Regions from separate parts of the Mus musculus genome. Here region 2 is reported to be linked to region 1. Evidence: microRNA targets listed by miRTarBase, many of them from high-throughput screens and not tested one by one. Region 1 holds a microRNA gene; the other region holds the end of a gene's coding sequence.

Region 1 (3,406 bases):
CAATGGTGTGAGTTTGAATTCACAGGGGAGCAGCCCTGCAATTGCTGATAGCCCATCTGACCTTGGGCACGACCTGAGCCTCAATTTCCCATCTAGAATGCAGTACCTATCAGAAATGAGATCATGAAGATAAAAATAGTAATGACAGGAGTTTTGAAGACAAATAAGGGCAGAACAGCTTTAGCCTGAAGTTAGGGGTCAGCCACATAGTGTGTCCAAGCTCTCTGTGGAGGTAGTGGCTCCTTTAAAAGCATGAACTGGCTACCAGAAGTTGCAGCCTGGGAAATCCTGGATGTTAACTTGGTCTGGAAAGGGGCAGGAAGCAGAGCAGGAGGATGAGTGATCAAAAGGCTGCAGGCTTGAGATTAGGCTGGGCTGATTTCAGATTGTTTCTGAGGAGTACCAGGGGCCAGCATTTTCTCTAGGATTCACTGTGAATAGGCTTGGTCTATCTCCTCACTGTGAACCTGGGTGAAGTCTTAAACCTCAGAGCTTCTTGAAGTCAGCTTCAGTTTTGCTTCCCACAAACCTTATTTTGCTAGAAATTATGAAACTTTTCCCTGGAAGAGATAGAACTCCTAAACTGTTTTTTGCATCTCCCCTGCAGTGGGGATGTTGGCTGTTGGTATGGCTTCCTCTGGGTGTGCCTTTTGGGCCAAGGTCACACTTCCTACCCAGGCTTTGTTTCCAGGCTCTGCTCATTCCATCTGCCCTGCCCCCTACTGGCCACACTGTAAACAGTGGCCCTCTGTGTTTGTCTACCCACCTCACTAAGAGAACCTGAGCTTTGTAACAGTCTCCATGCCAACAATACACAAGTCCCCTTCACACTTTGCTCCTGCTAGGCCTTCCCCACCTCTGACCCCTTCTCCCTCCTCACCTGCCTGACGTAATTCAGAATCCCCATAGTTCCTCGCTCTCCTCAGTGTGCCCCTGTTACTGTATTTTTTTTGCCTCTATCCTCACGGTAACACTTGGCACAGCACATTCGAGCACATGGATTCAGCCAGGTGTGGAAATTAAAGACCGGTCCCTAGAACCTCAAAAGCCAGCCTGATACCTGATGCCAGGTACACCCTGACAAGGCTTGGGGATGTGGCAGGCCTGGAGCTCATTTACAACCCAAAGTCCTTAACACAGTTCCAGCTGCCTTAGACCATGTTTGGGGAGGAAGGGATGTGTGCTGGGCCAAGTCCCAGGAGAACTCTATCTCATGGTCTCCTCCCAGCTCCCTCATCTTCAGCCCATAGATTTACCGTCCCTCTCCTGACTGTATGGACAAACCAACAAGTTCGCCTTGACTTCCCTTTCCAGATAAGGGCCAGGCATCCATCCAGCCTGGCTGCCAGTGCTGTTTACGTCAATGACCTGCACAGCCCTCCACAATGCACCTTGCCTTTGACTTACTTTATGACTTGGCGTAGTGCGCTCTCCTGCTTGTGATATTTCTTATGTACCACTCTGAATGTGGATTCACTCCAGATGCTCAGAGAACCTGGATCCTTCCCAGGACTCTTGGTTGGCTGGGTTCAGTTATTGAGTTTCTCTGGAGCAAGTTGCCTTCCATATCTGTATTTATCTACACCCTAAGAGACTGACATGCAAGTGTTTGTGGTGCATGCATGAGCGAGTGAGCGAGTGGGTTCACCATGTGTTCTTCCATTGTATTGTGCACCTTGCAAACATACCCCTCGCTTCCTGCTTCTGTACCCTCTCCTGAAGACCACGATGAAGCTCCTGAACCGCCAGCACCATTTGCCATCTGTGAAAATGGGCTCAAGGTGAGGGGTGCTATCTGTGATTGAGGGACATGGTCAATGGAATTGTCTCACACAGAAATCGCACCCGTCACCTTGGCCTGCTGAGCACCACCAGAACCAAGAAGCACAGCACCCCAAACCAAGCAGCAGCCCTGGTGAAGTCCCCGTGAATGTGGCCGTGATGTGTGTGAGCTGTGGAAGGAGCTGTGGATGCAGACCTGGGCAGTGTGTGGGGTTTCGATTCGGATTCTGTAACCGCCATGACCAGCAGAGTGAGAGATAAGAAAGCAGTTCAGTCCAACATGCCTAACTATTGGTTCAAACTTCAGGAGTCTGACCCCAAATAATTAAGTTTAGGCACATTTAAGCACAGCACAATTTGGTGCTTTCCTGGTGATAATTAACTCAGTCCTGTATATACAACAAAGCTTAAGATGTGACTACATCAAAACTCTTTGTAAAGTACGTGTGACATCTTCCATAAAGATGAGTTCTGTAGATTGACAAGCTCACAGTAAGAGTCTGGGGAGGATCCTGTGTGGTCTCGGCCACATAGATAGCACAGAGGTCACCAGGCTGTTAACCACGTTTGCTCCCAACCTTCTGGGCAGATAACAGGTTATGTGTCCCTCCCTTTGAAGGGACAACTCTGTGTGTTCAGCATTCCTGGTTCCCTAGTACTTATCTGTGAGCACAGAGACCTTCATACCTCCCACAAGATAGATCTGTTCTCCAGCTCTTTTGCAAAGTACTCACCCTTTCTAAATTTGTTTTTCCATCTGTGAAATGGGTTGTCACACCTACCTCACAGGGGTGTTCTGAGTGCAACACAAGACATTGTGCAAGTTCTTTATCAGTTGAAAAATCACTCCAGCAGCTTGAAATGCCTCTCCTTACAAAGCAGGAGTTCTCATCACCCACTCATGTGACAGTGCTAATAGGAGAGGAGGACATGGTCTCTGTGGGGAGTTTACATGAAGGTCTCTGGAAAGGCCTGAACTTTTTAGGGTGCCCTGCATGGGGACCCTTAATCTCAGAGCATCTCCTTTAAAGTAGTACTGGCTCATCTGCAGTTTACATCCCAGGAGAGAAAAGCTGCCTTCTCCTCCAGCACCAAGGTCACTTCCTCAACACTGATGGCAACATGCTACTGATGCTTCAGGCTTCCTGAAACCCCACAGACCCAATGATAGTATGAGACGGTGATCCAGAGCATAGCTATCTTACACGCCTGTCCTCCATACTCAGAGAACAGACGAGCGAGGTGAGCTACATATAGCCAACACAGGCAGCTCAAGAGGGACACAAACTAGAAGCAGGGGACCCTTCTGTGCCCTAGCTGCCTGCATCTGTTCTACACTCTGTTATAGTTAGTGAACATAGACCCAACACATCTATTTCTGCATGCCCCCATGCCAAGTCTTACTTTCCTTATCTTTGAAGTGGACACAAGGGCTGATGAGATGGCTTAGTTGAGGAAGGGAAGGTGCTTGCTGCTAAGTCTGGCAACCATAGTTCAGTCCCCAGGACCCACAGTGGTGAAAGGAAAGAACCAGCTCCTGAAAGCTGTGCTCTAGCTTCCATACACGCACACGTAAAGTAGACAAGAGGGAGGGAGGCTTTAAGGATCGAAGCGCTGTCATACA
Region 2 (3,406 bases), not on the chromosome of region 1:
TAGACTATGACAGAATCAGGTTGGTATTATAGTTGAATGCAGCCTGTAGTCCACTAAACAAAATGGCTACAGCAGTAGTAATCCTAGCTGATGAAAGCCATCTGACCGAGCTTCCTGTACACAGCTCTACAGTGTGCGGTAGTTTATCTGGTTCTCAGAGCTCTGAGGTACATGCAGTGAAGAACTGTCAGGCACAGATGAGGAAGTTGAAACAGGTGAACTTGCTTCTGATCCACTGGTTACTGTCACTGATCACAGTCCCCTCTGTTCTCAGGCATTTATATCCCAGAGGACGACAGAGATGCCCCAGAGAAGTTCCGAGGGCTCGGAGTTCGGATTGAGGATGATGTAGTGGTGACTCAGGACTCACCTCTTATCCTTTCTGCAGATTGTCCCAAAGAGATGAATGACATTGAACAGATCTGCAGCAGGACCTCGTGACCACCACTGTGGCATCCCTGCTATGCAGGTAGTCAGTGTCTCTGGGGATTAGACACAGCTTCCCTGGGAACTGCACAGCCAGTGAGCGAGGGCATCTTCATGTTAAATGGATGTAAATCTGGAACCGTGGATTGTGGAATAATCTGTTACTACAACTTTAGTGACATTAATTCTGAGACGTTAATGATCCAGAAAGTTTAACATGTGAATGTAAAGTAAGGGCTTGGTTATGTGTCCCTGCATTCCAGTTAACACATTTCAACAGAAAACTCTCTTCATCCCTTTCTGCACTTCTTCTGAGATCCACTTAAGATGCTTGTGTGAGGCCCACATGTTTTACTTCTCACCAAAGTTTCAGCCTATGCTAATGGCTACCTGTCGGCGTTTGAGGTGGCCAATACTTACTTGCCATGGCCTCTGCCTCCTGGTCCAGGTTCTGCACACGCACACCCACTGGAATCTCTCAGGCCTCAGGAAACACAGGGGTCCTGCTGTGTTTCCATTCAGCCAGAATACAGCAACAGTCAGCCAACAAGAGTCTTGGATCTTTCTTGCCATTTGATTGCACAGAACATGGAAAGTGTCTAGGTTCTTCTTGGAAAGAAAATGAAAGAGAAAGGAAAGTATCTATGTGTCTCCACAGATCCAGCTCTGTTTTCTTCCATTTAAAGGAGTTTTTTTTTTTTTTCAAATGTCCACCTTCCTCTCTTTCACAAGTTATTTTCTCAGACAAAATGTCACTATGTTCCTCAGGTCCTTCATAGTTGCTGTGCTTTGTGACAGGATCTTATGTAGCCCAGGCTGGCCTCAAACTCAATATACAGTTATTGCTGGCCTCAAAATATTGATCTTCCTGCACTGCGCCCAGCTCACTTTTATGGGGGGGGGGTTATGCGCAGGTGTGTATGGTTGGTCGGTTGGTTGGTTGGTTGGTTGGTTTTTAGCAAGGTTTCTCTGTGTAGCTCTGACTATCCTGGAACTCGATCTGTTGGCCAGGTTCACCTTGAACTCAGAGATCTGCCTCCTTCTGCCTCCCTAAATGTTGGGATTAAAAGCATTATCTACCACCACTCAGTTCTTTATAGGTTCTTAATGAATTGATCCATGTAGCTACTTGCAGCCATGTATTGTCAAAATCAATGCATACTGCTGCTTCTCCTTGTCTTCGTCTCCCCCACTCCCCGTGGTGACTCCCCTGGCCTCAATCCTTGGGGCCAGTGAAACTGCCTGACTCAGCTTCCCAGTAAACCTCCTTTTAATTTAAAAAACAAAAGCATGACAAACTCAGAATGGGCATAGTGACTAGTGCCTGTAATTCAGCGTTCTGAATGCAGTGTCAGGAATATGGTCATAGGGTCAAGGCCCAGAGCAGCCTGGTCTGCAGAGCAAGTCACAGCCACTCATGGCTATGTGATGACCCTGTCTAAAAATTAAAACAAAATAAAAGGTTCTGCAGTCTTGTGTTAGATAACAATAAAATTAAATATATGGGATGCATTCAGTAGTTATGAATACCCTATGGTCCACCTCTTACTCTAACGCTAGGGGATGACATGGCAAGGCAGTGGCAGAGTCATGTTTCTTTCCCTAAACACAGCATCTGGTTCAGTTGTACAACCCAGATTGCAAGGTGAGCAAGTCAGGGCTGGATGAATACAAATGGTTAATTAAGAGCTTGTGTGAGGGGCTGAAGAGATGGCTCAGAGGTTAAGAACACTGACTAGAGGTCCTGAGTTCAGTTCCCAGCAACCACATGGTGGCTCACAACCATCTGTAATAGAATCTGATGCCCTCTTGTGGTGTGTCTAAAGACAGCTGCAATGTACTCATTATACATCAAATAAATAAATAAATCCTTTAAAAAAAAAAAAAAAGCTTGTGTGAACTGGGCATAGTCCCTTAGCACTTGAAGCAGGCAGATCTCTGAGTTCAAAGTCAGCCTGATCTACAGATCAAATTCCAGAACAGCTACACAGAAAAACCCTGTCTCAAAAATAAAATACGCTTATGTGACAGAGGGAAGCCCTAAGAGCTAGTGTGTAAACTTCTTTTAAATCTGAGTATGTGTAGTCCCATGGTAAACAAAACCTGCTAACTGCTACAACATAAATCCAAGGGTTTTGTGGGATCTGCCCCTACTTTCCATATTTCTGTTAGGGAAGTGCAAGCTAGAAGATTAGCAAACAGTCTCTGCAGTGCAGGTAGCTGACACATCTTAAGAAATTTCACAGTACACCTAGAAACCAGCAGGGGACAAAGGTAGTGTGAGAACTAAACATTAGGACACAAATGGCCCTCTGACTACTCATCCTCAAGGCCTTATCAGTCTCTCCTGAGGGCTGTAACAGTGGCGGCTGCCCGCCCAGTCTGTCCTTTCTGCCCGTTGTCCGTCTTCTGGGTCTCAGACCTAACCTACTTTTAAAGAAGGAAGAATAAATCCATTACCATGGCTTCTCACCCACCTGGCTCTGTGCCCAAACAGCCTTCGCTTGGAGTGACTTTCCTTTCTTTCTGTAAGACAACGTCGTCTGCAGTTCTCACCTTTGTAGCTGAAAGCCTGGGCCGCTTTTATGTATAGCAGAGTTAGAGAGGAAACTGACTTCTGCTTACATTACAGTCAAGTTCTGCAGATGTAACTGGTGGTTAGGGTGGCTTTGATGGAGTTGTGGTGAATTTGGTCTATGGTCCAACCTGCTACCCATTGAGTCCCAGATTAAGCCAAGCATTTCAGTTGGACTGTTAGAACCATCCAGAAAACAGTGGAGATGGCTCAGCTGCCTCAGATGTGTGGCCAGGCTGGTCTTGCTGGGATTCCAGGTGCACCAGCACATACAGTAAGACTCACTGAGCGGGTGAGTAACTTACTCACAGGGCAACTTACTACACATCGTGTTTCTAGAGTTAGTGTTTTGTGCATGTGTGCCCCAGTCTTTCCTCTTAAAAGGGCTTTTTACCTGTCAGCTTG

The links. Region 1 holds the annotated microRNA mmu-miR-342-3p (UCUCACACAGAAAUCGCACCCGU, at 1,827-1,849, shown strand). A microRNA usually pairs through its seed, bases 2 to 8, with sites in the 3' UTR of a target mRNA and lowers its output. Matches are read on the target gene's strand: a 7mer-m8 pairs with bases 2 to 8, a 7mer-A1 pairs with bases 2 to 7 and ends in A, and an 8mer does both.
Region 2: miRTarBase lists Xpnpep3 as a target of mmu-miR-342-3p. Seed matches in the 3' UTR shown: 7mer-m8 at 760-766, 7mer-m8 at 2,119-2,125 and 8mer at 2,704-2,711.

The regions. Positions count from the first base shown.
Region 1 is chr12:108,656,854-108,660,259 of GRCm38, forward strand. It overlaps Mir342 (microRNA 342), which reads left to right and starts at 1,767; the gene lies at 1,767-1,865. All of the region lies in intron 3 of Evl (Ena-vasodilator stimulated phosphoprotein), which reads left to right.
Region 2 is chr15:81,452,591-81,455,996 of GRCm38, forward strand. Xpnpep3 (X-prolyl aminopeptidase 3, mitochondrial) reads left to right here. Exons shown (of 10, transcript NM_001347075.1): 10 at 275-3,406. The coding sequence ends at 441. Among named protein-coding and RNA genes, the nearest start is that of Rbx1, 12 kb to the right of the region's middle.